Rhinolophus ferrumequinum: one gene and its partner. The protein of the gene in region 2 purifies or fractionates together with the protein of the main gene of each other region. This does not show direct contact. Links are inferred from orthologs where the notes say so. Each region holds a gene or a part of one and is shown on either strand. Other genes may lie near its edges.

Region 1 (10,972 bases), on a different chromosome or scaffold from region 2:
TGTGTTGGGAAAGGGCTCCTTGCTGTGAAGCAACAGCATGGAAGTAGGTCATCACAAGTAAGAAACAGCAATATCACAAGTAAGTATCAACACTACAATGAAGGACCCAGAAATGCCACATCTGTACCTAGGTTTGGTCTCCATTTGTGTCAGCATCTCTTTTCAGACCTGGGACATTGCTGAACCAGCTGGTGGCCTTTGAGCTCTGATGATTTTTCTCACCTCTGAACTTGACTGTCTCTCTCTGTCACACTTTGTACTCAACAAATTACTTTAAGCTTCATGAAGACAGACAACAGATAGACAGAACTCCAACAGACCATGGGAGAAATCAGATGGACATGGAAACTATTGAAAAACAGTAGAGATGTATAATCACTAAAAGAAAAGATAATTAAATCCTGATTGACAAAAAGATAAAGGTCAAGGACAGAATTAATGCTTAAAGGGGCAAACAAACCAAAACAAGAGTTTAATAAAGGAACTAAGAAAAAAAATGATCATAGATATGGGAGGTAAATCTGGAGAGAGCTGGGTCCTAGAAGCAAAGGAAGAAAGTGCTTCAATAAGGGGGCAGGTCAAGAGTGTCCGACTAGAATGACGTATGCCTATTGGATTAGGAAACCTCATCAATCTTTTTCCACTCCCCTTTGGGAGCTCTAGCAACCAGGACTTTTCTCTGCAAGCAGGAGATTAGAAGAATCATCTCTGCTACATCTGACCAATTTAAAAGAAACATTTTGAAAATACTGACGAGGAAGTTTCCCCAAAGAAATAGCTCAGCTAGATTGTCCACTGAGATGCTTAGAATGGATTAGACCCACTTAGGAACTCAGAGCTTCCCATCTACTTTTATTTGCCTGTTTGATTTAAAATCAACTTTATCATTGTGTAATTTACATAAATAAATAACTCATTTTAGGTGTACAATTCAGTAACTTTTTTTTTTTTTAATTGGGAAACAGTGTGTTTTTCCAGGACCCATCAGCTCCAAGTCAAGTCGTTGTTTTTCAACCTAGTTGTGGAGGGCACAGCTCACTGGCCCATGTGGGAATCGCCAGTGACCTTGGTATTAATAATGAGCATTGCACTCTAACCAACTGAGCCACCAGGCCGCCCTCAGTTCAGTAATTTTTGAGAAATGCATCCTCCTATGTAACTACCATCTAATCAATACATAGAATATTTCCATCACTCCAAAATTTTCCTCATGCCCCTTGATAATTAACATTTCTCCTTGCGGGCCACCACTGATGTACCCTCTGTCGCTACAGATTTGTTTTGTCTGTTCTAAAGTTTTGTGTAAAGTACATACAATATGTACTTTTTGTGTGTCTGAATTCTTTCAATCAGCACAATGTTTTCTTTCCCAATCTTTTGTTATAAAAATGTTCAATTATAAAGCAAAACTGAAAGAATTTTACAGTGAACACCCACATACCTACCACTAGATTATACCATTCAATTTACTACACTTGCTTTAACACATCTTATTTATCCATCTTATTTTCTGATGTATTTGAAAGACATCAGTGTATGTTCCCTAAACACTTTAGCAAGCATATCAGGCATAATTTTCCATGTTATTGCATGAATCAATAGTTAGTTCTCTTTTACTGTTAAGCAATATTCCATTTATGGAAAAAGGAAAACAAAAAGAATAAGGTTTGTTTTCATTCATAAACAATGCAAAAACAGCCAAAAACTAAGCTATACTGCTTAGAGATGCATACATAAGTGGTAAAACGTTTAAAGTATTTTGTTGAGAACTTTTGCATCTATATACATGACATATTGGTTCGTGGTTTTCTTTGGCAGTGATATCTTTGTCTGGTCTTGGTATCATGGTAATAAGGCCTCATAAGCTGAGTTGGAAAGTGTTCCCTCCTTTTTCTGGGCTGAATTTTGTCCACCACCTTTACCCCCCAATTCATATGTTGAAGCCCTAACTCCCAGTACCTCAGAATGTTACTATATTCAGAGATAAGAAAAAGGGGTGATGAAGTTAAAATGAGGCGATTAGGATGGGCTTTAATACAATCTGATTGGTATCCCTACAAGAAGAGAATATTTGAACAGATAGAAAGACACTAAAGAAGTGTGTATACAGAGGAAAGAACATGAGAAGACACAGAAGGCTGTCATTTGCAAGCCAAGGAAAGAGGCCTCAGAAGAAACCAAACTTGCCAACATCTTGATTTTGGACTTCTAGCCTCCACAACTGTGAGAAATAAGTTTCTGTTGTTTAAGCTACCTAGTCTATGGTATTTTGTTATGGCAACCCTAGCAAACTAATACACTCCTCTTCTGTTATTTGGAAGAGTTTATGAAGAATTAGATTTAATTTTCCTTAAATGTTTTGTAGAATTCACAAGTTAATCTGTCTAGGTCTGGGCTTTATTTTTGGGTAGATTTTCAATAACTTATGCAATCTTTTCACTTTTCATAGATCGTTCGTATTGTCTATTTATTCTTGAGTCAGTTTTGGTAGTTAGTGTCTCTCTAGGGATTGGTCCATTTCATCTAGGTTATTTAAATTGTTGGTGTACAATTATTCATAGTGTTCCTTTATAAGCCTTTTTATTCTGTAGGATCAGTAGTAATATCCCCTCTTTCATTTCTGATTCAGTAATTTGAGTCTTTTTCTCCTCCTTGGTCAATCTAGCTAAAGATTTGTCAATTTTGTTCACCTTTTCAAAAAAATTGGCTTTAGGTTTAATTGACTTTCCCTATTGTTTTTCTATTCTATATTTTATTAATTTCTACTTTAAATCTTTATTATTTCTTTCCTTCTGCTTGCTTTAAGTTTAGTTTGTTCTTTTTCTAGTGTCTTACTTAAGGTGGAAGATTAGGTTATCAATTTGAGATTCTTCTTTTTGCTTAGTAGAGGCATTTATAGTTATAAATTTCTTTCTACGCAGTGCTCTAGTTGCACCCCATAAGTTTTGGTATGTTGCACTTGATTTTCATTCATCTCAAAGTATTTTCAGGTTTTTCTTATGACTTCTTTGACACAGTGGTTACTTAGGAGTGTGTTGTTTTATTTCCACATATTTGTGAGTTTTACCAATCTTTCCTGTTATTGACTTCTATTTAATTCTGTTGTAGTCAGAGAACATACTTTACATTGTTTTTATCCCTTTAAATTTATTGAGGTTTGTTTTATGGCCTACCAGTTGGTCTATCTTGGAGAATGTTCCATTGTGCACTTCACTGTGTATATTCATGTATAATTGATAATGTATATTCTGTTGTGTGGAGCATTCTACAGCTGTGAGTTAGGTCTAGTTGTTTTATAGTGTTGCTCAAGCATTCTGTTTCTTTGTGGATTGTTTAGTTGTTCTATCCATTATTGAAAATGGAGTGTCTAAGTTTCCAGCTATTATTGTGAAAATAATTTCCCCTTTATTTCTCCCAGCTTTGCTTCATGTATTTTGATGTTTTGTTATTAAATTCTTGTATGTTTATAATGATTATATTTATCTGATGGATCGACACTTTTATTGTAATAAGATGTCCCTCTGTACCTCTAGTAATATTTTTTGTTTTAAATTCTATGCTGCCTGATATCAATATGGCCACTCCATCTCTCTTGTTGTTGCTGTTTGCATGTTATATCTTTTTGCATATTTTTATTTTCAATCCCTTTGTATCTCTGAATTGAAAGTGTCTCCTGTAGGCAGTTATAATTGGATCATAGGTTTTTGTTTTTTTTAAATCCAGTCGAACAAGTTTCCCTTTTCATTGGATTATTTAGCTCATTTTCATTTAAGATTGTTGATATAGTTGGACTTGCATGTGCCATTTTACATTTTTCTATATGTCTTATGTGTTTTTCTCTACATTAAAAGTTTTCTTTTACATTAAGCGAATATTTTCTAAGGTATCATCTTAATTTCTTTAATATTTTTTACTATATATTTTTGAGTTATTATTTTAATAATTGCTCTAGGGTTTACCATATACATCTTAACTTATCAGAAGCAACTTCAGATTTATACTAGCCAGTTCCAGTAGTACAAGGAAATATTACTCCTAGATGGCTCTATTCCCTTTTCCCCCCATTTGTGGTATTTTGTATATATATTACATTAATGCATGTTACACACCGAACAATAGATTGTTGTAATTATTACTTTGCCAGCTATAGTCATTTAACTTTGCTCCCACCCACCTGTTTTGTGTTGGGAAATATATTTCACATATATTAATTTCTATATGTTATAGGCACAAAAATATATTATATCATTTTATACAATTGCTTTTTAAATCAGTTAAGAATAAGAGAAAAATATTCATTTATACTGTCTTGTAATTGTAGAATTACCTTTTCTGTTGCCCTTTTTTTTGGTGAGCATTTGATTTATTGTCTGGGGTTATTTGCTTTCAGCTTGAAGAATTTCCTTTAGTATTTCTTACAAGGTAGCTATATTAGCACAAATTATTTCAGTTTTTGTTTATTTGGGAAAGTATTTCACAAATCTTATTTTCATAAATTTGTTTTGCTTGGTTGAAAATTTTTTTTTTCTTCGAGCACTTTGAATATGTTATCTCATTGCTTTCTGACCTCTATATTGATTTTGCTGAGAAGTCAGCTATTAATCTTATTGCTATTCACTTAAAGTAATAAGTTGTTTTTCTCTTGCTGCTTTTAAGATTTCTTCCTTGTCTTTGACTTTCAGCATTTTTACTATAATGTGTCTGTAGATCTCTTTGCATTTAGTTTATTTGGAATTTGTGAAACTTCTTGGATGTGTAATTTACTGTTTTTCAATAAATTTTAGAAGTTTTTAGCCATTATGTCTTTGAATATTTTTTCTGCTGCATTTTCATGCTCTTCTCCTTCTGACACTCTCATTATGTACATGTTGGTGTGCTTCATGGTGTCCCACATTTCTCTGAGGCTTTCTTCATTTTTCTCTGTTCTTTGGCCTGCATAATCTCTATCTTAAAGTTAGCTTATTTTTCTCCTGCCATTTCAAGTCTATTGATGAGTTCCTAATGAATTTATTTCAGTTATTGTACTTTTCAACTCGAGAATTTCTATTTGGTTCATTTTTATAATTTCTCAGTCACATGCCTGCTCTAGGTTCTTAATATTTTTTATTGATATTCTCTATTTGATGTGACGTTATCAGACCTTCTGTTTCTTCTTTAATCATGCTTTTCTTTAGTTCTGTGAACATGTTTATAACAACTACTATGAATTCTTTTTCTGATAAGTCCAACATCCGGTTGCTCTCACAAGCAGTTTCTGTTGCCTGCTATTTTTCCAGTGTATGGGTTTCCTGTTTACTTGCATGCCTTGTAACTTTTTGTTGAATACTGAACATTTTAGATAATATATTGTAGCAACTCTAGGTACTTGTTTCCTCCCATTCCCCAAGCCTCACTTTGTTGTTTTTTGCTTGTTTATTTGCTAAATTACTTTAGTGAAGTCTATCCCCACTCCTGTTAAATTTCTGATATTGTTATCCTGTTATTACAGTGGTTTTTGGGTGGAGCTCTCTTCCTTTTATTTCCCGACCACACCCAGCTGTTAAGACTCCACATTTGCTGACTGATTGCTCTACTATTTTTTTTCTTAGAAAATTTTTATAAAAGTTTAGTTAAGCCAAACTGATGACATATGCCAGGGAGCAAGATCTCAAATGCTCCCTGATTGCTCTGTTATTTTCGATAATGTTCTGGCATAATTTGCTCTACAAATGAATCCAACCAAATTGTGGCCCTTTGAAACAATAGTTTATGAGGTGTTTAATGTTTGTTCTTATTCCAGGAGGGCTTTCCCTGTCTTTATCTCTAGCTCTCCATTGCAAACTAGCTAGGTTACAATTTAACCCACACCTTGAAACTCCTCCCAATTGCTTATCATCACAAACTCCAGGTTTTCGAGAATAACCTTTGGCTTGAATTTCAACATGTTGTGTTGCAAATAAAGTCAGTTCCTTTGGGAAGAGTTTAAGACCTATCTGTTTTATGGAGTGCTTTTCCCCCCAGGCACAATCACTGAACTAGGGCTTTGGAGCAACAGGTGGAAAGATATGTTACCGTGTTTCCCTGAAAATAAGACCTAGCCGGACCATCAGCTCTAACGCGTCTTTTGGAGCAAAAATTAATATAAGACCTGGTCTTATTTTACTATAATGTAAGACCAGATATGATACGATATAAGCTAGCTGCCAGCAATCTAATACCAACAGGAGTTCCCAATCTGGAGGGCGGAAAAAGGACACTATTCAAGTTAACAGTTTGCAAACTGTGCAGATGCAGTGCTCAGAAGAAGGGTAAATGCACTCCCCTGGGACGGGGAGGCCTGCCTTTTAAAGAGACAGTGCAAATGAATCCAAATTTGGAGTCTGACTGGTCCAAATAGCACTGGTCGTGTGTTCTGATTGGTTGTTATGAAACCACTCTGATCGGTTAGTATAGATGTAAATGAGGACATAGCTGTGTAGTGTTCCTATTGGAGGGCGCAGGTATCAGCCCATTGGTCCAAATATGATTTTATAAGGGTAGTCTCAAAAGACAGGAACAGTACAGGAAGCTGGCAGCTCAGCCTTTGGTTTTTCTCTGAAACCAGTGCATGAGTGTTCTCTGCCAGCATTCGCTGTTAGACTGATTATGAATTTGAGCCCAGTTAACCAGTAGGAGTCCTTCTTGGTGGGTATGTTCCTTCTCCAAGGTCAATACTCTCTTGGTAGTCTTGCAACTTTCCTGTAAGTTTACATTTATTTCAAGTTAAGTTAAATTTTAAAAAAATCACAAAGTAATAAATAGATGAAAACACAAATAGCTTTCACACTTGCTATTTATTATTATTCGTATACATCAGTAAAAAACACTAACAGTGTTTGTTCGTAACGACAATCAGAACTCCTTTAAACAACCATTCTGGGTTCACAGCATATTTTATGATCTTTATATCACAAAGGATACAAAGATAAAACAGTGGGTTGGCTGTGGCTAGGAGAATGTTTCAACTGAAGGGGACTCATTGGGGGCTGGTAAGTAAGGGGTCTCTGGCCCTAACGCAGTCAGCCCGCCCAACTTTCGTTGTGAAGATAAGTGCACGCGCAAGGCCACGTCGGTAAGCGCAACGTCCGCTTCCAGGCTTTCGGTTTCCTTTCCTACCTTTTACTGCGTTTCTCAAGCTTCCGGGACAGCGAAGCCTGGCAGCTCGCTGCAGGAAGAAAGCCCCACGGTGGACCAGACGGTACGTGTAGGCGCTTAATCCCGCCGCTCCGACCCTCCTCAGTCCTAGAGGTCTCATTGCAGGTTTCCGTGTCTGTGTCGCCGCAGGGCCTGAGCGCCGCCTCTCCCGTCCCTCGCCGCAGCTCCCCGACCTGCACTTTCCGGGAACTGGCCCTGGGCGGGGGCTCCCCGGCAAGGGTCCGGGATGGGGGGGTGGGTCTTCTGACAGGTGACTCAGTTCAGTAGCTTCCTTATACATGGTTTGCCCACGAGCGCCCGCTGGGGCGGAGCCCCCGTCCCCGCACGCACCCCCGCACCCACCTCCTTGCCCCGCTCTCCTTGCACCGGGATTCCCAAGAGGGCTGTCAGAGGCTGCCCGGATCCCAAGTGCGGTCCTCGGTGCGCCCGGATCCACCGGTCCAAATAACCCTTAGCAGAAACAAGCTTCGGTGGCAGGTCGCGAGCATCCTGTAAACTTTGCTTAAGATCATCTTGAGAGTTACTTCCTGGGGTGAACTGTTCAAAACATTTGGCAGTTTTCCTTTTAAAAAGTTGATGAAAAAGAGGACTTTTTCCTGCGCAATGTGTGTGCACGCTCGCCTTTACCCGGCAGAGGCAGCCGCCGGGCGGGACATTTCACTCGCTTGGTGAAGTAGGTAGGGCGGGATATGCCTCAAAGCATTTTAATATAGTATTTTTTGGCAAGTTGCAAGGAAAGCTTGCTGTGGGAAAGTCAGAATGACTGACTGATACATTTATAGAAAGCCTTAAAAAAACCCAATACTTGTTCCGGACTCTCCTCTCTTCCCCTCCAAGAGGACTAGGAAATAAATATAAAGTGTTTTCAAGATGTTGCTGGATGGTGACGGGGTTTTAAAATGTTAACAGTGGATTGCAATAGAACAAAGGGCATTGAAATTCAGACCAAGTTTTTGGTTCAAGGCAACAAGAAGTTCAAGGACGTTGAAGGTCTGGCGAATGTTTTTATTTGTTGACATTTTAAACTTGTTTACGCAACCGAGAGGTGGTGCCAGTAAGGTGATAGCATACTTGAAGTATTTGAACACAGACAAACCCGGATGGATAGTGAAGTCAGTTTGGGCCCTTCCGGTAAGAGATTCAGATAAGAGGAACAGAACTTTTGGTATTTTCCGATTTGTGGTTCCTCTAATCTTACCAAAAAAGTCTCGTTGAGAGGAGGAGCAAAAAAAACTTGGCTCAACTCCAACAAAACAAAACAAAAGACTCGAGCTTGGAAGGGAATATTGAATGTGGCCAACAGACGTTTTTTTATTTTAACCCTTGTTTTACTTACAGCTTCTGGGTTGGAGGTCCTGATTAAAATGGCTTTTTCTAACGACTGTGTTTTACATTTTGTTTGTAACTGACATTTGCACTTCCTTTAACTATCTTTACTCCCTACTTTTCACCCGCTTTCTTAGGTGGATCCACCGGCAGGTCTGCAGGAACTGGGTGCCCCTTGTCTTCTGCCCCCTTGGGAGTCTTGTGCGACTGGGGGCGTTGGGAGGATAGTCGCGGGTAGTGTGTTGTTGTTTATTAATAGCGGTGGCGGTAAGTACTGGAAACAAAACGAAGGTGTTTTTGTTACTAGGACGCCCACCGGTCATGCACTCGCTCTGTGAGGTAGTGGGGCAAGCAGCGCCCACTCAGTTACCGCCCGCTGCAGGGAATTTCCTGGAGCTACACGTAGCTCCCTTGCCCGTCCAAGGGCGTTTACTCACCGAAGACACAAGAGTGTGTGCACTGATGAAGTTTTTAAGGTACGGGCGGAGGGTTCTCAAACCTGAAGTGTCAGGTGAGCAGCGCGTCCCTGGAGGAGGCTTTTAGTATTGGAACTCTGCCCTAAGAGGCTTCGGGACGCCTCCCTGCAAACCAGCCTCTGACGCTACGTTCAGTTCCTTGTCCTGTTTGGAGAATTTCCAACTCCGGTTTTTCGGAGTGGTGGGTCTGATCGTATCCCGCATCGGTGGGGCGCCTTTGCAGGTGGAGATCCAGCTGGAAGAGCCGGCAGCTGCCCCGGCGTGAGTAGACCTAGAACCTTGTTTACTCCTCTTCTTCTTGTGCTGACGTCACCCTGAACTCCGGGGCTGTCGGGGCATTGTCCCCCGGTATAAAAGGATTGAGTCTCTCTCTTTTAGCCCTTTGGCGCTTCCTTGACTCTCATAGGGACTCATCCACAGCGCTCCTAGTAACCTGGCGTGTAGCTTTTTAAATTTTTCGGATTGGACTCCATTTGGTTATTTGTTCCTTGTAGGGCCCCAAAAGCTAATTAAACTCGCATTATGTACTGAAATGCCTCCTTTTCTTTAATTCAAGATAATCCTACCAATATTTATTTAGCTTCTCTGGGTCAGGCAGAGTTCTGGGTGTGAGAACACAGGCATAGATCTGAACTTGGTTCCTTGCGCCTGCTGGAAGCTCACAGAGTGGTTGGGGAGACCTACGCAGATAACTTGCCACGGACAGACTGGAACGGGAAGGAAGAAACCAGTTGGGCCAGACTGGGGAAATAATGGCAGGTCACAGAGCTGTCAACGTGTACTGTCACTTGGTCCTTGCTTTCTTTACTATAAATCAGTGAGGCAAGAAACACTTATTATTGATATGCCCTATTTCATTTACATTCAGCTCCTGTCACCTTCTCTAGGAAGACTTCACAATTCACGGTGGGTTCCTTTACTCTATGCTTGCATATACTCAGTGGCTATTTTTGCACTTACCATAGGATTGCACTTAACACACTGTATTGGCATACTTTTTCTTCAAAAACTTTTCAAATTGTATTATAATTATCGGAGTTAAAATACATTCAAAGTAAATAGAGAAAGCCCCTAGGAGTCCATTATCTAAGATAACCAAAGGTTGCTGTTTAGTGTCTTTTTCAGAAATGTATGCACTCAAATACAGTCTTTTAAATGTCTTTAAAAAATATATGTTTTGCTTTATTTTGTATGGTGCTGTTTCTCCAACTGTATTTCAGAACTACTGTTTTGTGTTTTTTTTCTGTTAATACTCTGCTTTTCCCACGTGTAATTTCCCTCTCCTCTGGCATCAGTGTTTCTAATGAAAGATTTTTTCTTCTGACTACTTTTCTTGTTTTTTAAGAATGTGTATCAACAATTTACATTTCATGAATCTGCTTGTTCAGATGTCCGAATGTTTTTCCTCCCTCCTCAATTCTGCATTTAGAGAACTAATTTCTTCTTTCATCCCATCCACATACAAATTTATGTAATATATAACATATACCTATATTCTTGAATCTTTACAGATAAAACTCTGCTTTTCACCACTTTGTACCTTGTTCTGTACGTCTGTTTCTTTGATGGTCTCCACTTTAGGCCACGTAAGTTCTTTTGGCTGCTTAAGTTGTTTATTTGACCATTTAAGTTCTTGTGCAAAACAGACAAAAAACTTCTTTATTTTTCTCTTATTTTAGATATTGAGTTTTCATCTTTAGCAATTCAGTACTTATGAAAGAACTAATCTCCACCAATTTGATACCTAATTTACCTGCATATTCAAGATATGCAGTGAACTCTTCAATTGGAGAAATTAACCCATTGTTATTTATATACCTCAGTTTTACAATGTAATTGAAAAAATTCTTATAGCTACTGGCTCCAAGGTTTCAAATGTTTCCCAGCCTAATGACTTCCTTTTAACATCTGATTTTACAAGTAAGAACTAAAGCTTCTTTATCTACCTGTGAATTCTTAAATTTTTTTCTTTAAAAAAGTTATCAATTACAGTTGAC
Region 2 (10,818 bases):
CCTTCCTCACACAGTACTTAACCTCTGCTCTCAATTTATGAAGATTGTAAAATAATAAAGCAACATCGGCTCCCATCAACAAGTGTCTGCTATGAGACAGACTCTTTCCAGCCATCATTCCATTGGATGTTCGCTACGATTCTATAAAGCAGGTACTATCATCATCTCCATTCCAAAGATGAGGAGAGGGAGGCAAAGAGTGACTGTATTCATTATCTTCTGTTGCGTAACAAATTATGGAGCTTACAATCACAATAACATTTAGTATCTCTAATATTTTCTGTGAGTCAGGAATTTAAAAGCAGATTAACTGGGTGATTCTGACCTGGGGCATCTCATGAGGTTCCAGCCAAGATGTCAACCAGGGCTGTCGTCATCTTTAAGCTTGACTAGGGCTGCAGGATCTAATTCCAAAGTGGCCCATGCACATGGCTGGCAGATGAGTTAGCAGTTGGCAAGAAGGTCTCAGTTACTTGCCATATGGATTTCTCCACTGGGCTGCTTGAGTGTCCTTACAACATGGCAGCTGACTTCCCTCTGAACAAGTGATCCAAGATAGCAAACAGGAAGCTGAAATGTCTTTTCTGACCTAGCCTCAGAGGTCATACTGGCATTTCTGCGATATTCGACTGGTTACACAGGTCAGCCCTAATCATTACAGGAGGGGACTGGCTACACAAGGGTATGAATACCAGGAGGTGAGAATCGTTGAGGGCCATCTTGGAGGCTAGTTACCACAAGTGATAAAGTAATTTATCTGAGGTCAGAAATATGGGAAGTATTACAGGGGGGCTTTGAACCCAGGCAGTTACTATGTCACAGTAAATATTGTCTTAAAGGAGTACAGGCAGGCAGGTACCCACAGGTCCCCCTTTCCTGAAGGTATTCATACGTGAGATCCTGTGCATCTCATTCCAGTGATTAGTGGGGTCAGACAGTTTATCTGATGTGTCAGATACTGTCAAAGCAATATGACTGGGCATGTTTATAAAAGATTGCACAAATCGTCACTTGATAGTCGACTTGGTGAATCAAAGGGAACCTGGATTCTGGCTCTAGGTTTGTCACTGACTTACTGTGTGACCTAGGGCAAGTTCCAGACCCTTTGAGGCCTTTATTTTCCTATCTGTACAATGGAGTAGTTTGATTGATTCCATGGGCCTCCAAGGTCCTCTGGCTGAGAGATTCTGGGATTCCATGCACAGTTAGTCACAGTCTCCAGGAACGCTGAAGGGATTTCCTCTCCTGTTTCCCTGGATCTCTCAAACCTTTGCCCAAGTGGAGTGGACCCCTTAGGTGCAAGGGTCACTTCTTTGGACCCAGGCTAGGTCAGGCCAGGCTAGTCAGCCCTGCTTTACTCACAGCTGGCTGGTACCATTGTTCCCCCATAAAGCTGGGCCCCTTTCCAGCTGCTGCTGCCCTCGGAGCAGGGGAAAGGCTCAAAGAACTCAGTTGTGTGACTTCCCTCCTCCCTAGGGCAGGCCTGGGTCACCCAACAGACTGACTCAGCCCATGCAGGGGAACAAAGGAGATGAGATATGGTTTAGGGAATTTGACATTTACTATTTTCCCCAAAAAAACTTCAAAGTAATCATTATGGGGAGAAAATCCTCTTACGTTTATTTTATAGTTCAATGGGATATCTAAAACTTGGGGTGAAGGCATTATAACCTTTCAGGGCCCTAGGGACCCATATTTTAATGATTCTACAATGCACATCTGTCTGCCTTTTAATATCTTTGAAATTGGGATGCACGTGACAGCTTATGACAAGTCATAAATAATTGCAGCATTTAAAAAATTATGTAGTATTACATAAAACAAAATAACTGTGCCTATTACAATGGTGGATCTTAAATTTTATGAAATATGGTAATTAAGCCCTGTTCTTGGAGCCTGGGCCCAATGGCACCCCTCCCTACCCTCCTCCAGCCCACTCCTTCCCCCACCACCCAGGCGTGTCCTTCCCCTGCAGTCCTCATCTTACCCCTGTGTCTCCAATACAGGCCTTCAAGCTTTTTTTCCCCTCTGCATAAGTCTCTGAAGTAATTTGGAGGGGGAGGCTGTGCCCCACTTCTGACCAAGACAGAGAGGTTATTTAGTACAGTGAAAGGGCACCAAAGAATGAAAAGAAATTTAATTCCACGAGTAATAGCTAACATTATCTTACATTGTGTAACAGGCACTATTCTAAGTATTTTATGTGTGTTAACTCATTTAATCCTTACAACCATTTATCGGGTAGCACCTAGTATATCCCGAGTCAAACTGAGGCACAGAGAGGCAATATAACTTGCCTAAAATCACATAGCTAGTAAGTGGCAGAGCCCAGGGGTAAGAAAGCAAAATGCCTTCTTTGCCTCAGAGGTAACACTGTCACAAATGCGGTGCATATCACGCCAGATCTTGTTTTTATGTATTTGTGGCATAAACATATAGAAAGCAACCATTTTGCTTTCCAAGGGGATCATGTGTCCTGCAACTAGCTTTTTGTACGTCCACCCTATAAATTGGAGATTTCTTTTCTATACAAGTACATATAAATTTACTAGTTCTTTATAACTGCTGCCCTGTATTTCCACAGTGTATATATTGTGAAAATACGTAGGCCCACATGCCCACGAGGTACCAGGCCCCATCCGTTGTGCTTCATGTGCATATCTCATTTCAACCCAACAGTCTGTGACCACTAGCATTCTTTCCATTTTAAGGATAAAGAAAGTAAGGCCTGGAGAGGTTAAATATTTTAACCGAATGAATGAAGCAGGATTTGAACGGAAAGGCCACACTTTTAACCACCGCACTTCTCAGTGCCTTCCTAAAGGGAATAGTCTAACTAATTACCCTGTTGGTGGATATGTAGGTTGTTTCTAATTTTCCCCCATTACAAACAATGCTGAAGTGAACATCCTTGCACATGCCTCTTCATGTCCGAACGGGTATCCTTCCTAGGGTTGGTTGTGATGGTGAAATTGCTGAGTCCAAGGCCGTTATATTTGCAATTGTGAGACTGCCAAACCTCCCTCAAAAAGCTTTTTTTTTTCAATTTTTTTTTTAAATTTATTGGGGTGATAATTGTTAGTAAAATTACATAGATTTCAGGTGTACAATTCTGTATTATATCATCTATAAATCCCATTGTGTGTTCACCACCCAGAATCCGTTCTCCTTCCATCACCATATATTTGATCCCGCTTACCCTCGTCTCCCACCCCCCACCCCCCTTACCCTCTGGTAACCACTAAACTATTGTCTGTGTCTATGAGGTTTTGTTTCTCATTTGTTTGTCTTGTTCTTTTGTTGTTTTTGGTTTATATACCACATATCAGTGAAATCATATGGCTCTCTGCTTTTTCTGCCTGACTTATATCGTTTAGCATTATACTCTCAAGATCCATCCATGTTGTCACAAATGTTCCTATATCATCTTTTCTTACTGCCGAATAGTATTCCTTTGTGTATATATACCACAACTTCTTTATCCATTCATCTATCGAAGGACATTTTGGTTGTTTCCATGTTTTGGCCACTGTAAACAAAGCTTCAATGAACATTGGAGTGCACGTGTCTTTATGTATAAATGTTTTCAGATTTTTTTGGTAGATACCAAGGACAGGGATTGCTGGGTCATATGGTAATTCTATTCGTAATTTTTTGAGGAACCTCCACACTGCCTTCCATAGCGGCTGCACCAGTCTGCATTCCCACCAACAGTGTATGAGGGTTCCTTTTTCTCCACAGCCTCTCCAACACTTGTCACTATTTGTCTTGTTGATGATAGCCATTCTGTCTGGGGTGAGGTGATATCTCAAAAAGGCCTTTCTAATTTACACTCCCACCTGCTTCCTCTAAGAAGCACACGATTTGGAGTCACCATATCTGGGACTGAGTCCTGCCTTTGCAGCGTGACTTTGGACAAGTCATGTTGTTGCAGGAATTAGTAGCTTCTCCCTCTCCTCCTCTGTTTCCTCCTCTTTTTTGTCATGTAGTGTTCCATTGTATGAATAGGCCACAATTTTTCTATTCTGCTGCTGATGAGTATTTGGGTTGTTTTCAATGAAAAAGGCTGCTGTGAACACTCATGTACATGTCTTTTAGTAGACATATGTATTCACTGCTCTTGGGGATATGAGCCTAGGAGTGTTTCTGAATCATAAGGGAGGCTTATGTTTAGCTTTAGTATGTATTGCCAAATAGTTTTCCATAGGACTTGTACCAATTTATTCTCTTACCAGCAACGTATGAGAGTTCTAATTGCTCCACATCCTCATCAACATTCGATATTATCAGTCTTTTATTAAAGTTTAGCTATTCTGGTGGCACTATGTTCTTTTAATCCTCATATCACCCTGAGAGGTAGATGTGTATGTAGACACTGTTGGTTAGTGGCTGAGTTCATCAACACATTCCTCTCTAGCTAACTTGCAGCTATGATATAGTTCTGGTCAATGAGACAGAAGAGACTTCGGGGAACACGCTGGCTTTCCTGAGAAAAGAAGAGACACTTCATTCCTATACCTTTCTTCTTCTGCCTGGAACACAAACATAATGTCATCCCTGGAACAACATATTCCATGAGGCCACGACATGAGGAAAAGGCCAAGAGAATCACAGAGACACGGGCCGTGACATCATCAAACCAGTGAAACAACACAAACAGCTTCCTGTGTTGTGACTGCCTGTAAGATAAAGAAGTTTCCTTACCTACTATTGGTCAAGTTCTCTACTGCTTGCAACCAAGAGCATTCTTCAGTAATACTTTGACTATCTCCACTTTACAGTTGAGGAAACAGAGGTTCCGACAGTTCAACTGACTTAGCCAGATGAAGGATTCAAGTCCAAATGTGTCTGACTCCAAATCATGAAATCTTTCCCCCCTGGCTTCCTAGGAGCCCAAAGAAAAAAAGTTTGGGTAAGAAACTTTTATGGCAATAAATATTTATCCAGGCACCTCGCTTCTTAAAGTAAAAGACTATGTTTTCCAGAATCCTTTTTAACTGGCTGTGGCCATACGATTGAGTCTGGCCAGTGGAATGTAAGCTGTAAGGTGTTGTGGTGATTTCTGTGATATTTGGGAGGCGGTGGTGTCATACCTTTCTTCTTCTTTTCTACTGCCTAGAAAGATGATGCAATGACTGAAATTCAAGCAGCCCTCTTGAGATGACCTTAATGATGGAAGCCACACTTTTATGATGAGAATGGTAGAGTGGAAAGATGAGCTTCTGAGTTTCTGATGATATCATGAAGCTGCCATAACAGTCCTAGACAGCCTACCTCCAGTCTACCTCCAAACTCTTTGTAAACGATATACTTAGTTCTTTTTTAAGCCACATTTACTTTTTCTTTTCTATTCTATGCACCTAAATCTAATTCTTGCTGATACACCAGCATTTAGTTTACGCATGAGTAGGTGACACAATTCTGGTCACTGGGGAAGTTTATGTCAAGTGCTAGGAGTGGGAGGGGGAGAGCACACCTAGCAAAGTTTTCCTTTCATCCTAAAAAGGGACAGAAGGAAGAGAAGGTCCTTTTCTTCTGCCCCTGAACATTGTCATAAGGATGTGATATTTGGGCCTGTGGTCGCCATCTTGTGAGCATGGGGAGCCAGTCTGACGATAGCCAATACCTGAGGACAGCAGAATGGAGAGAAAGGACGAACTTAGGTCCTTGATGAAGCCACAGGGCTGCCACTGAATTAATGTGCCCTGGAGCCACCCTATCGCTAGGTTCTTGTTACATGAGATAATAGCATCCCTCTATTGTTAAGCCCATTTTAGTTGGGGTTTATGGTATTTGCAATCAACATTCTTACTAGTATGAGCAGGCTGACTAGGTCTAGGATGTGGCCATTGGAATAGGTGGCTGATATGAAGTGGAGGTGAAGGCCATGGACAATCAGGAGGATGAGGAATCAGGCTGTCAAGGTGTAAGATGGGTTAACCTCATATAAAATGAAGTTGCCCAGGGAGATGGCAGGACTTAGGAGGGAGAGGGAGAGTGTGGGGCAGGGAGCAAAATCCTCAGTGAATGAAGGGGAGATTGGTAGACAGCAAAGCAGGATAGAGGGGAATGTAATTGAATAGCATGAACCCCAAAAGAGCTGAGGTTTTGATGTGAAAAGGAAGAGTGTATCAATCAGGATAGTTTGGGTTAAGAGCAACCACAAAAAGAATTATGGCTAATTTAGCTGAAAAATTATTTATGAAAAGATAATGGATAATACAGAATCTCCTGGATGTATAAAGGACCAGGCTTGGAGGTTACCTAGTCAAGATTAGTGCCCCGTAGCACAGGCCAGAAGTAGCCCTATGAACAGAACACTGGTGTCACCAACAGTCCAGACATGGCTGCCCCCACATAGAGTCTTTGTGGACCTATGAGTGTCTGATCAGTGGAGCCTAGGTCACATGACGTTACCCTAGCAGCAAAGGTGGCATTTGTAGTTTCTAGTATTGAAGGAGGGCTCTGTCTCATAGGGGATTCTCCCCAAATATAGCAAAGGAGTTCAGTTGCTAGATGTCCAAAAGGGATGATCAACACCCACTATAAGCAACAATATGCAAGGAGCACTGGGGACTGGAGAAGGTTCTGGGATGCACGGGGTTGTCAGGAAACTAGGGGCCTCTGCTTCCAAGGGCTCAGGAGGGGATATGAGACCACCAGAAAAGCCTTTGTGAAGATTAGGGTATCTCCCGGGACAAATTTTACAAAGCTCCTTTCCTCTAAGTGAAGTCACCCTCGAGTCAGGGCCCCGCATTTACTCTCGTACAGAGGCCCTGAATGAAGGAAACACTCTCAGACGTTCAAGAAGTATATGAGAAAAGAGGTTCAGAGACCACAGAGGAACTATCCCACCGATGTGGGAGAGGCTGGGATCAGGAAACCTGGAGCAGCAAGGGGTGATGGTCTGATTAAGCGTGGGAGTGGCTAGAGGCAGGGCGAGGGTGGGGCGGAGGCAGGCATTGAGCTTAGATCCCAATGGGCTGAAAGTCTTAGTGGAAAAGCCTGGTGCCAATGTCTTCACTCTGTCCCTTTGCTGGCAACATCTGCTGAGGGTCTCAGAGAGTTGGTAAAGGTGCCATGAGATTTGTGACGGGGCAACCAGGCCCTGAGCTGATCACAGGACACCCAAAACATGGCTACACTTACCTCCCCATGTTTGTGCCAGTATCTCCCAAGGAAGCTTCCTAAGCAGGGATTAAAATTAATGTCCTTTTCTATCCGTAGAGATGAGTCCTGGATTGGGAGAAAGGCTAGGCCTAACCCGATTTGTCCATTAATTTGCTGTGTGACTTTAGGCAAATCAGTCAACCTCTCTGGGGCTCAGTTTCATTGTGTCTAAAATAGAACATGGAATTGATCTCGGAGGCCCTCCTAGATCTACTACCTATAATTCTCTTACCTCTCCTCTCTAACCCTCCTGGTACGTATGTCCTGCGGGGCAGCCTGCAGGGCGGTCTGCGGGGCCTCTGGTCCTGTTCCCCACATAAGAACGCAGGATATGGCTAGGCCAAAAAGGAACACCCACGGAGCCATAGATCGGGAGTCATACCACTATATTCTCTCTGGCGGCCAGGTGAGACGCAGGCAGTAGTAGCCACCGGATCCGCAGTCCACCATTCACTTCTCTGCCTGCCAACCAACCAACCAATCAATGCAGCCCCGCAGTTACATCAGTAGCCAATTGGCTAACCGGTTACAGCCGATGGCCAACCAATCACAGTTGATGGTCATTCACTACCAGAGCCAGCACCTCCCCACGCCAGGCCGAGCCTGGAAACTGCCCTCTGGGACTCTGTCCCCACAACGTATGGTTACATTACATGAGTACACCACATCTTATTATCCTGTTGATGGACCTTTGGGTTGCTTCTAATATTTTGCATTTACAAACAGTGATGCAATGAATAGTGTTGTAAACGTCTTCTTGTGCACATATGTGAGTTTCTCTCATGTATAGACTTGGGAATGGAATCAGGGAGTCAAAGGGCATGCACAACTTCAACTTTGCGAGTTGTGGCCTCATGGCTCCCCAAAGTGATTTTACACATTTACTCCTCCCCTGTCAACAAAGCATGACAAGTCCTGGCGCTCCTCATCCTCATCAATACTTGGCACTGACAGACTTATTAATGTTTCGGTCGAGATATAACATATGTACTTGCCCTATGTGTCCAGCTTCATGCATTTTTACATTTGTTAAACCCATGTAACCTCTACCCGCCTTATTTCCAGACCACTCGAAGGCTCCTTCATGCCCCTTCCGAGTCGAGAGTCCCCAGCCTCCCAGCCAAAGTAACTGCTATTCTGCTTTCTATACATATAAATTTGTTTTGCCTGTTTTCGAACTTCATGCAAGTGGAATTACACAGCATGTGCTCTTTTATGTTTGGCTTCTTTCACGCAACGTGTTATCTGAGATTCATCTTTGTTGAGAGAGAGAAAAAGAGAGAGACACTTATTTTGAGGAACTGGCTCACGTGACTACGGAGACGAAGAAGTCCCAGCATCTGTCACCTGCAAGCTGGAGACCCAGAAAAACTGGTGGTGTCATTTAGGCCAAGGGCAGGAGAAGATCAATGTCCAGCTCTAGCAAGCAGTCGGGAAGAGAATGAATCCTCCCTTTCTCTGCCTTTTGTTCTATTCAGGCCCTCAGTGGATTGAATGAGGCCCACGCACACGCACAGGGGGAGGACAACCTGCTTTACAGAGTCCACTGATTCAAATGCTAATCTCACCCAGAAACACACTCACAGACACACCCGGAAATAAAGTTTAATCTGGGTACCTCGTGGCCCTGTCAAGGTCACACATAAAATTAACTGTCACCAAGGGTGAGGGTGGCAGGTACCCTTTGCCAACCACAGCAGCCACAGGAGGGGGATCTGATGCTGGGCCTGCCCCTTCCTTTTCACTCCCATGGTGCCTAGTAGAGGCTCTGTACTCAAAAGAAGCTCAAGAAACTTGATACAGTGACTAATATCATAGGGACAGCCCTGAAATAACAACAATTCAAAATTGAGCACCCCTTATATGAGGGGCACTAGAGAAAGCAATTTACATTCATGATTTCATCTTTCCCTCTTGACAACTCTAGGAGACTTTTTTATTGTCCTTTTTACAAAGGTAGAAACTGAAACCCAGAGAAGCCCCATTTGGTTCTGCCTTAGATCCTGAAAAAATGAAGTGTAGTGTGTGGAATGGTGGCCCCCAAAAGATACATCCATGTCCTAACTCCAGAACCTGTGATTGTGACCTTAATGGGAAAAAGGTCTTGACGCAATTAAGGAACTTGAGATGAGTTTATCTGGGTGGGCCCTAAAAACACAATTACCAGTATCCTCAGAAGAGACAAAAAGAGGAAAGAGGGAGAAGACCATGTGAAGACAGAGGCAGAGATTAAAGTGATGCAGCCACAAACCCGTAAACTCCTGGAGCCACCAAGAGCTGGAAGAGGCAAGAAGGATTCTCCCCTAGAGCCTTGAGAGGGAGTGTGGCCCTGTTGACACCTTGATTTTGGACTTCTGGTCTCCGTAACTGTGAGAGACTACATTTCTGTTGTTTCCCACCATCAGTCCACGGTAATTTGTTATAGCAGCCCCAGGAAACGAGCTCAGAAGGGTAGTGGAGAAGGGAAAGGAAACAAAGCCTGCAAAAGCTCATGCTCCTCCAACTCCTGGTGGCTTTCTGGTCCCATTTCCTCCTTTTTGCCCCCACTTCATTTCACTGCAGCCTCAAGGTCTCTTTGTCATTCCTGGAATGTGCCAGGTACACTCTCACCTAAAGGTCTTCATGCTTGCTGTTCCCTCCGCCGCAGACGTTTTCCCCAGACATTCTATGTTCTCTGCCCTCAGAGAAGCCTCTCTGACGTCCTCTCTAGAGTAACTCCCGTCTCCCGTCAACCCCATCCTTTTATTTCTCTTCGTGGCACTCGTTACCACCTGACGTTATATTTGTTCCTGATATGTGTGTTTATGTGTATAATGTCCCCCACTAGGACATTAGCTCCTCCAAGGTGGAGGCTATATTTCACTGCTGTATCCCTGGCCTCTAGCATAGTGCCTGGCCCATAGTAGGTACTCAATAAATATTTGAATGAATGAACAAATTATCTACTAATTGCAATGGGAATAAGGAGGAGGAGGAGGGCACAGATGCTAAGCTGTCATCAAGCTGAAGAGGCAACTGTGTGTGGGAAGCAGTTGGCTCTAATAGGATCCTTGGCGCCCAGCCCAAGCGTGATTACTAATCTCAGAAAAGTCTTTCTCCATGCCCCTCCACCTGGCTCGCCTCGTCTTTCCAGCTGGTCAGAGTCCCGAGGGGTTCATTTGATTCAAACATCCCTGGGAAGGTCTGAAAGGGTTCTTTGTTTCTACGTTTTCTCATTTTTTTCAAGCATCAAGCATGGACAGGCACCTTCTGGAAAATACACACACTCATGCACACACATACACACAAACTAACACACACGCTTGGCTATATCCCACACTCTCGTACACCTTCATGGCTCAATCTACCCACGCCCAGTACTAATCGTGCACCTCTGTGGACACACACTCACACTTGGTCTTAGGCATTCGTATTCCTGACTCACACACTCACACACATCCATAGTCCCGCACATGCTCTCGTGTACACAGCCAGACCTCCACCCAATTTCCTACCTACACACCCACTCATACTGACATACACACTCATTCAGCTCCTGTGGGCACGTGCGTGTGGATCCATCTGCACACACATCTTTGAACACACCTCTAGGCTTCCTGACACACATACAAACAGGTAAGCCTGTTGTGGTGAACCACACCAGTCAGA

Evidence for each region.
Region 1: the proteins of ITCH (region 2) and CFLAR purify together in Homo sapiens (affinity purification with western blotting; 8 studies listed by BioGRID). This does not show direct contact. The link is inferred for Rhinolophus ferrumequinum from reciprocal best matches to the Homo sapiens genes ITCH and CFLAR.

What each region holds. Positions count from the first base shown.
Region 1 is NC_046291.1:30,188,259-30,199,230, reverse strand, and holds the start of CFLAR (CASP8 and FADD-like apoptosis regulator), read left to right. Parts: upstream 1-6,798; 5' UTR 6,799-7,216; intron 7,217-8,190; exon of another isoform or gene 8,191-8,773; intron 8,774-8,936; exon of another isoform or gene 8,937-9,008; intron 9,009-9,083; exon of another isoform or gene 9,084-9,236; intron 9,237-9,843; 5' UTR 9,844-9,881; intron 9,882-10,972. UniProt on the Homo sapiens protein: Apoptosis regulator protein which may function as a crucial link between cell survival and cell death pathways in mammalian cells. Acts as an inhibitor of TNFRSF6 mediated apoptosis.
Region 2 is NC_046306.1:20,841,760-20,852,577, forward strand, and holds the start of ITCH (E3 ubiquitin-protein ligase Itchy homolog), read right to left. Parts: upstream 4,867-10,818; 5' UTR 4,705-4,866; intron 4,630-4,704; exon of another isoform or gene 4,519-4,629; intron 1-4,518. UniProt on the Homo sapiens protein: Acts as an Acts as an E3 ubiquitin-protein ligase which accepts ubiquitin from an E2 ubiquitin-conjugating enzyme in the form of a thioester and then directly transfers the ubiquitin to targeted substrates.